Drosophila melanogaster: one gene and its partner. The protein of the gene in region 2 purifies or fractionates together with the protein of the main gene of each other region. This does not show direct contact. Each region holds a gene or a part of one and is shown on either strand. Other genes may lie near its edges. The genes, in order: Doc3 and twz.

Evidence for each region.
Region 1: the proteins of twz (region 2) and Doc3 purify together in Drosophila melanogaster (affinity purification with mass spectrometry, with the first as the bait; one large-scale study listed by BioGRID). This does not show direct contact.

What each region holds. Positions count from the first base shown.
Region 1 is NT_037436.4:9,003,327-9,007,866, reverse strand, and holds Doc3 (Dorsocross3), read right to left. Parts: upstream 2,672-4,540; 5' UTR 2,550-2,671; coding exon 2,459-2,549; intron 2,397-2,458; coding exon 2,231-2,396; intron 2,093-2,230; coding exon 1,825-2,092; intron 1,709-1,824; coding exon 1,571-1,708; intron 1,504-1,570; coding exon 892-1,503; 3' UTR 618-891; downstream 1-617.
Region 2 is NT_033778.4:21,572,870-21,578,101, forward strand, and holds the start of twz (tiwaz), read right to left. Parts: upstream 3,167-5,232; 5' UTR 3,113-3,166; intron 1-3,112. UniProt on the Drosophila melanogaster protein: Functions with the transcription factor TfAP-2 to regulate octopamine neuronal signaling pathways that control behaviors such as male aggression, male mating, and the initiation of feeding.

The DNA of each region.
Region 1 (4,540 bases), on a different chromosome or scaffold from region 2:
GTATGTATGTATGTAAATGGCCACAGTTTCGCTAACAACTACAATGTGAAAACATCAATTACACGGCTGCAGTGGGTAGTGGGTCCTGGGGATTGGAGATTGTGGATTGGGTATTTGAATTGGACTGCTCGCCAGGTTTGCCGGTGATCGTGGCGCTCAATCAGCGCATTTAACTTGGCGCCGGCGCCAGCGTTTAAGATGCGGCTCGCTCTGATCTGCTGATAAGCCCATGACCATGTTGTTGCTGCCGATGTTGCTGCTTGCCGGTGGGTTGTTCTGCTCTTAGAAACCTTCTTTCTTTCACAAGAAGTTGGAGCAGGAGAGGGAGGGCGGGTGCGGGGCCTGGAGGAACTGGTTTTTATGCCTCGCATGCGGGAGATATGTATGAAACCGAAACCAAAGGCAAAACCACGCCGAATTATGTATTCGGCGAGGACAGGCAAATGGAAGGCATACAGCATGCACAAATTGCTCGAGGAACAGGATTCGAAGCGCAGTCATGGGAAGTTATTGGGGAATTTATTCAGATCTTCGAGCTGGAAGCTCTTCGCATCTGTCCCATCTAATTGCTTCACATTCCCCGCATTGTTTCATCCCAGAAATAGCTCCATCGAATTCATTGGATACGTACATATGTACGTACAATTTTATTTATGCCGCATTAAAATGCCAAAGACAATAAATCCATTACGAAATCATGTGAACAATTAAAATTGCATAATAAATACGATAAATACTGATGGCAAATACCTGGAAATCCTAATTAACTGCAAAATATCACAATTCAGCTTAGACACTACGCAGACGATGGCAACTAAACGCTAATTAAATGTACAAGGCACCGATTCCAAGCCAAACGGGAGCACATGCACCCGTCTGCACTTGATAGTTTTAAATGGACGAGCTGGTTCCTAATATGTCCGAGATGCTGAAGCTGCTGCGCTTCGGCTTGGCCATCGTCGGATCGCTGGATGACGAAGCAGGGGCAGTAGCAGTGGCTGGCACAGGCGGAGATGGAGGCGGAGGAGCAGCCGGTGCGGTTCCAACCACATCTACAAAGGTGTCGGCATCGGCATCTGCCTCTCGGTCGGCAGCAGATTCGCCGCTCGTCGAGCCCGCCGAGGAGGACGAGACAGAGGAGGCCGGCGATGGCGGTGTGTAAGCCCAACTTGGATAAGCACCACCGATGTGCCTGGCATACTCGATGGCCGGCGGCGGTGGCGCTGGCACATAGAAATTGGCCTCCAGAGCATCCAGCAGATAGTGACGCTGCATAGGAACACTGTGATGACTCTGGTGATGATGGTGCTGGGGAAATTCCTCCACGAGTCGCAACCGTTTGGCTAACGGCGATGTCACCGGGCTTCGATCCACCTGGTTTGCCTCGGGCTGCGTTGGCGGTGGCGAGTCATTGATCTTCCGTTTGCATCTCGACTGACCCGACTCACGGAATCCCTTGGCAAAGGGATTGTTGTCGATCTTCAGCTTGGTTATGCGGTCATTCTGCAAATGCAAACAAGAGGATTAGCTATCACGTGCCATATTTAGACTGCGATATAGCACCACGCACCTGATAAGCTGTTACGGCTATAAACTCCGTCTCCGGAAAGATAAAGGCCTGTTGGGGGGCCCAGGGAATCTGGCCGAGATCAGAGGTTCGTATGACGTGCAGACGCGGCTGATACTTGTGCATGCTGGCCAAGACGATCTGGAGAGACAGAAAAATACACGGTTAGTTTGAGGATATACAAAGATACATATATTTCTACTCAAGAACAAAAGATCAAATTTGTTTATGTAATATTCTTGACAAAGTTTACTTACATGACCATTGTTATCCAGCGTATTATTCGTCAATTTCACTTTGCTGAAGAGCAGAGCCTGGGATTGCCAGTGTTTTCCCGTGGCTGGACTCTCCGGATGCAGATACATGCGCTGCGGGCTCTGGGGCTCGGCTCCTCCGGCCGGCACCCACTGGGATCCAGAGAACTTATAGCGACAATCGCCAATGGGCACCATCTCGAGGAGCACGCAATAGCTGGCCTCCTCCTCCAGTCCACTGAGGGAAACCCGCATCGAAGGGAACATGCGTCTGAAAGGGATGGAGGCGTTGGTTAATGGATGTTAGTGACACGTTTGCGCCGTAAGATTTAAGAGTAAGCAGAAGGCTTATCAATGGGAGATAAGCTGATGGGGGCGAGCAAATAGTTGACTTTAAAATGGTACCAACCTGCCGCACTTGGTGATGATCATCTCGGTGCCGATGCTGTGGAACTGCTGCCAGAGTTCGTTATTCTCCAGCTTGGCCTCCACATCGCCGGGCAAAGTGGGTTGCGGCGGTGGCGGCGGTGGCATAAAGTGTCCGGCAAAGTTGGGTAGCAGGCCGCATAGGGGATCTGTGGTAGACACTTTGGGTTAGCCGACGGCAAATCACAAGCGCAGGGAGTGCTCCACTTACCGGGTAAACGTTGCATAATCTGCTGGCGGTATATCTCCTGGGCGATCTGCTGCTGCAATCGCAGATCGGCGATGTTGGGCAAGGTCAACATATTTGGGGTCTTCGTGGAGCTATGTGCGTAATCTATTATTTTTGTGATACGTTGATATTATTCCGTGGGCAATCGACGTCTGGAACACGAACTGATCGCTTTGCTGTCCAGATTGAGACTGTCTCTCGGAATCTCAGAGCGGGCACTACTTCAGTTCTGCCAGAATCCGGTCGGTTGGGTTCCTCCCGCTCACTTCGCTCTTCACTCTGCCGATCCGATCCGATCCGATCCCTATCCTCAGGTAGTTGCCTAACCTGTTCTCATGCTCAAGTGGCTTGCCACTCACCCGCTCTCTCGCTTCCACTTCCAGTGCGTCAGGCCATGTGTGTATGTTTATCTCTTTGCCATTGGTCGCTTATCAGCGAGCGTTACGCCGTCCCGCTTGCACTCGCTGCGCCAGATGGAACGCCATTTTCGTAACGCCGCGTGGAGCGGTTCTGGTGACCTCCTCTCACGGAACTGGGGGGCACGGCACCCATCTTGCTGCTGATAGCGTTACGTGGAAAGGGAACGGCAATGGGGAATGGGGCTTTTCTTCGTGGAATCGGGGGAGCGCTCTTTGAAGTCGCCTAATCGTTTGTAATATTTATGGAACTGGAAAACGTTTTGGATATGGGCCAACCAATAATGTTCGGCGAGATTACATTGTCCCAGAAATGGGAAGCTGTAATTTCGGAGGCACGAGAAAAACATTAGGCGTATAGAATTAGAGGAGGAATTTCCAAAATACTTTGTAGAAATAAATTTATTCATCGTTCTTTTCAATTTTGTTAATGTTAAAAACAATAAACAGATTGGAAAATCTTCGTTAACTCTCTGTTAACTATCAGTGTTTACAGTCTGAGTTGAATTGCCACAATTCAATAGATAAAAAACAAAAATATTATCAAACAAAGTACTTTTATAACATTGCATTATCATTATAACAAAAATATAAAAAAAAATATACGAGCATTTTGTTTTATGTCGGCATTTTACTATTCATCAATGTGATAATGAAGCCAAATCTAGGCAAATAAAATAAAGGTGTGAAAATCAAGTAATTTATATTTACTCTTTGTTAAAAGTGGTATTTATTAGACAAGAATATTTAAAGAGATACTATACAAAAAGATTTAAAATTTAGGTTAAGAATTTTAGTACTGCACTATTATTATTATTATTATTATTATTTTCCCACAGCTTATCCTTCAAATCGAATGACTTCTAAAGTATCTTCTAGGTTATTTAACATTTTGATCATCGGCATATCATCTTGAGACAGCACTTGAGTGTCAAACCTTTGATAACCAGTTCATAGATCTATCTATTCCACCGTCATGATCGGAACCCATATGTTCGGTTGCATTTAACTTATCTGCAATCTGCCGTGCATCTTGTAGATGCAGCGAAATATCGCCGCTACCGTTGCGAAGGAGAATCTCGAAAGAGATCCGCCCCGTGATAAGTCCGGCTAATCAGACCTTTAAATGGTACTTTGTACTCGATGCTGGGCCACAACAAATTGCGGCAGCCGGGAGCGGCCATCAAATCAAACTGGCGCCAAGACACTGTCGCCTTCGAGCCACTTGAGCATCGTAGTAGGACGGGATGGAAAAGGGATACGTCTAACGGATCAGCCACTTGTTGCCACTTGTCCTGCATTTCGGGTGCCGGTGCCGTTGGCAGGGCGACACTGGCGGCACAAACTCACAGGCGAGTCATAAAAATCATCACACTTTGTCCCCGAGCTGATGCCTCCTCAACGACGGGAACAACCGTGGAACAAAAGCGAGAGCCTCGATGATGCGAGGATGCCAGTTTCAGTTTTATGGCCTGGCTGTGCGACGACCGCCGACTGTTTGTGTGTCTCTCTGCAGTTTCCAAAATTATTGTTATGATTATTGCCTGTTTGTGGGTCTGCTCTACAATTTGTTTGCTATTGTCTGGTCTGCTGGATGTTGGAGACAAAAGCGGGCCGACAAAACCGCAAAAGGACATCGCTTGGGGGT
Region 2 (5,232 bases):
CAGGTAAGCAAAAAAAAAAAATATATATATATATATAAGGAAGGGATTTTCTTTATATCTTTTTACACGATAGCCTTTAAACGTTTTAGCTTACTACTTTTTTTATATAAATTAGGGACACACACACGTAAATTGCGAGGAGCCAACTGCAAATAATACCGGCATTAAAGTGTTCAATAAAACATGTCAAATTTTAATTGTTTCGCGTGAGCAGTGGCATTTCAATTTTTCATCCTTTATCGCAGCAAATGCGTACGACGAGTGGAAACTGTTGCAATTTTATCGCTCATTTCACTCACTCAAATGGAATGGGAAATGCTGTGGGGGGTTGTTGGGGGGGGGCTTTTATTGTTTCAAGCGGCAAAATGGGGTAGCGGGCTTCTTTATTTTGACGTCGCTTTGCGTTTTTGCCATTTTAAATATTTTTTTAATCACAAGCTCACGCACACACACACATACACACGTACACAGAGAGAGAGGCAGAGTCGTACGTATTCAGTCACTCATACACAAGCTCATACATATGGCAATACCAATATTTCAAGCCAATTTGCTGCAGCTAGCCGCCAGCGGACTGCCAACAAAATAATTCGACAAAATGTGTGCGGCGCGCTTTATGCTTTATTGTTTGGATCGCTTGGGGGCAGTGCAGTGGGGTGGGCGGGCGAAGTGGGGGGTAGGTGTATATGGGTGCAAGGAGTCACATACATCAAGTACATATGTATATACATATATATAGATATATATAGAAAGATATATATTGTAGTAAAAGAGAATCCGCGGATCAGCTCAGAAATCAGCGTCGACATTTATACACTTCCTACGCGCTCGTTTGTAATTATTTGTTGATGGCTTTTTAAAGTAGCCCGCTCGCCACGCCCTCCCGCGGGCATACCGCCCACTCGCCTGCATATTTATTCAACGCTTGTGCATTTGCTTGTCAATCAATATCATACTGAATGCTGAATGGGAAAACACAAACATTTAAATGCCATCGCATATGCTGAGAATTTCCGCAGATTTTTTTACGCCACCCGCGACCGCCAACACCATCAGCATCAGCATCATCATTATTGTGATTTTTTATTATTACTATTATTTATGTGAGCACACACTCATCATCACAAGGCTGGGCAAATGGCAAATGTGTATGATGGGCTTTAAAATATACGAGTATGTATATATGTATATGTGTGGATGGGTGCGCACACATACAAGCGAACATATATTTTTTATTATTAACGATACCCAGCGAGGAAGCAACAAAAACATATATAGCATACCCATATATACACAAGCATATATATGAAAAGGCTCATAAAATTCACAATGTCTGGCCGCGGGGCTTTTACTTAATGATGCCATTTTTGCCGCCGCAGCCTGAAATTCGTGTTAAATTTTTAACGCACGACCGAACTGCAGCGGCAGTGGCAGCAAGCGCGACCACATATCAACCATCACAGCAATTCGGGCATCCATCCGTCCACCCATCCACCCATCCACCTATCAAAATATCCACCCATCCACCCATTCACCCATCAATTCATCCATATGTGGCACAACATTTACATTAACATTTGAATGGTAATCATTTTACAGGCAATGCGTGCCAAAATGAGGTGTTTGTTTAGCTTTTAAAGCTGTGTCCTTTTTATCACTCGCTGTCCTTTAAATTGATTAAATTATCAATAGAAGAATAACCACTGAATATCCTTTTGGTCCTTCATATTATGCCATTTATGCTAAGCTTACGTTTTTGGGAATTTGTTATATTCTAAAGGATTTGGCTTTGATTTAAAAATATGTTTCGATCGAAATGCCATAATGCAGTTGACATTATTTCAATTGTTTCAGTTTGACCCAAAATACTTTTAATGCACCATTTAATTCTAATGCAATACTTAAGTGCCTTAAAGCCCATACAAAAAGGTGGGTATAAAATGCATTAAACAAACTATAATCTGCCCAAAAGGAAAAATAAATATATATGATGGAGTGACTAAATAAAATATGGTTGTTTAACACAGGATTAATATTTATTCATGCAACGTATTTGGTAAATTGTGCTGAATTGTATTTGTTGCTTTATGTTTATTAGTTTGTTTACCAATTTCTTGGGGTCGGTGAAAGCTGGACTCTCGCAAATGAGAGTGCCTTTCAATTGAGGGGGCAAAAGTGGAACGGAAAGGGGCCTCTTCTGGAGTCGATTGCCGACATCCTTTTGTCATTAGCAATGCGTGACATTTGTCATTAACTGCATAATGATTCCTATGCAGTTTGGCCAACTTCTCCAACCAAACCCAACACACACACACACACACAGTCTAGCATATTGTACATAATAAGTGTGTGCGGATGTGAGGCATGTGTGTGTGTGTGTGCATAATTTTAATGATTTACAAACTAAGCCGGCGGCGTTTTTAGCTCGAAAACTGACAGTTGATACCCAGAGACAAGCAGAATGAGGGAAATATAACGCAAAAGAAGATATAGCCGCGAGTTATGAATGGGAGAGGACCAGTTCTTTATTTCCAGCTTCTTGGGGTGGAACGAGCGAACGGAACGGAAAGGATTGCTCGAACATGCAACTAAGATGGCCTAAGGACATTCAGAGGCAGAGGCACTGGCTGAGGCAGTGGCAGAGGTAATGCCGTAGAATGGGCAAAAATATGCAAGTTAAAAATAAGTTAAGTTTGAGTGGCTGGCGGCCCTGACGCAGCGTTTTGCATATAATGAGGGTACCAGCGCCCAGCTTTTTCACACTGCTTGTCACCTGCTGCCGGACTTTGTACATATGTATGTATGTGTATTTTTGTGCATTGGTATGTATGTAGATGAATTTTGGGGGACAAAAAAAAAACTGTGATTCTTTGGCCAGTTAGTTGGTAGCTGGTTGTGGGTAATTATAGGCAAACGGCACCGGCACTCGGTGTTGTTCTTAAATTATATGCCACTCATCTCTGTTTTCTGTTATCCTGCGCTGCAGCTGCCCCGCCCACTAATGTGGACACCCGGCCAGTTGTCCAAACACGTGCCGTGCAACAAGTTACCAGGCTGGGCGAAAACAAACGCAAAAAAGCATGTGGCAATAGCCAGAGACACTGTTATTCACCTGCTGCCGTTGTCGAAGGCAAAAGCAAACACCATCGGCACAAACACACTGAACCACCGTTGAGAAAAGACTGTTTTGGGGGGGCTCGTTGGGGTCTAAGTGCCGAGTGCCGTCGAGCGTGTTGCATGCAACATGGGGCACGACGCCAGCCGCAGCAGCAGCAGCAGCAGCAGCAGCAACATCTGGCGCAGCAGCGACGGCGGCAGCAGCAAAACGGGATGTTATCAGCCGCAACGTAAACACAACCACCACAACTAAGTATCCATATCCGCAGCAGGCGACTTCGATCGCCCGTCCAACTGGCCCGTTCCCTCCAACCCCCTTCCATGCACTGAAAGAAAAAACTATCTAAAAGCGTCTGTTTGTAACTGGCAGTCCATCTTGGACAGCAGTTGGTCTCAACTCTTTCAAATTTGCTCTCAGTGAAATACTTTAATTTCCTATCTAAGCAGCCGACTTTTGTTCCAGTGTGGTTGTTAGCCAAGCTAAGCTCGCGATGCGATGCCAATGTTCGACGCCGGAGCTCCAGCTTCGGTTCACCTTCCTCCTCGCCTTGCCCGCGGGCGTTCGCTTGTAATTATAATATTTCAACCCAAATGTGACCCGGGGCCATGCGCCAATGATGGATTTCAGCTCTCTGGTCCGCTCCGCTCCCCTTTCCCCTTCCTGTACCCAGCATATAATGTGGCATATATATATATATATATATATACATATTTATATATACACCGAAGAAAGACCGACACCCGAGATGCGGAGAGGTGCGTCGTGTGGTTCCGGGGTGGCTGATGTTGCTGCTGTTGCTGTGCAATTTGGTGCCGGCGGGCAAAGCGGATTGGCCTGCGGCCAGACATGTGAATAAAATTACATTCACTATTTTATATGCCACATGGCTTGTTGTATGTATGGCATTTATCGGTGTTTATATGTTTTGCCGGTGCCATGTGGAAAAATCCTATGTAGGTAGAAATAATTGAATTGGCACATCAGCTAAATCACTCTCGTCCATGTTTATATGTGTATGTCTTTATGGGTATGCCGGCCTGGAACCGGAGACGGCGGTCAGGGCAATAACAAGATTAGATCACTGGAAGAAGAGATTGCCCCCGGCCGGCAGGCAATGGAAAAGGGTTGAGCGAAAACTAAGCTGCCACTGACAATCTACAAAGCGAGGTCCGAATGGCTGCTACGAATAGTAAGTCCCCCTTCCGAGTCCATCGTTCGATTTAAGTTTTCCTCGGAACACACAGGCAGGTGAACATTAATCAAGCCAAACAACCAAATAACTTATGGCCCTGGCTAATAGAGACATTCGGCCAACTTCGAGGCCAGAAACAAGTCGGCCGAAGCTCTGGCCGAAACTATAAACCAGTGCTCACTTAGATAAACAAGATATGTGGGAGCAATTAGTGTTTATTAATGGTGATTTTCGAGATATTTGAATTTTTGGAAAATTGCATTTCAAATGGTAGAAAGAAAAGCAATTTGCATGAATACCTAGCATTCAAGACTTTAAATATTTGTATAATACTAATTAGCTATGAAAAACTTGTATATTTTTAACATATCCGATTGATTAAGATATACAACAAGTAAGCCTTTAATTCACTTACAAAGTGTGAGAGAATTCTATGCGGTAAGTGCGGCTTTTAAGTGCCACACAACGGTAAGTAGTAGCCCATAAATGCGTCCACTTTCATGTGTGTGTGCGTGTGTGTGTGTGGCGTGGTAATTAAATTGGCATTAATTAAACTTACGTCGCTTCTGTCGACGGCGCTGCTCAAGTGCCGCTCATTAAGCAATTAAGGGATAATTATCAACGCCGCGCCGTTGCCTTTTTGCAATTTTCATGCGCAAAGTGTTAAAATCACTTAATAGGCGGCCACATCCTGGCCTTCTGCTGTTGTTGTTGTCCTTACTTCCGCCGCCATTCGTGTGCGTGTGTGTGTGAGTGTGCAAGTGTGCGTAAGCGGTTGCATGTGTACGATGTTTGTGGACGCACGCGGCTGTTTGTTTAAGTGTAGCGTTAAACGCGGCCACTGACAAGCTGCGAATGCCGCACACCTGTAAGCAATGCCATCGCCGTGTGCCGTGTGTGTGGCATGTTGGGCCAACAACAA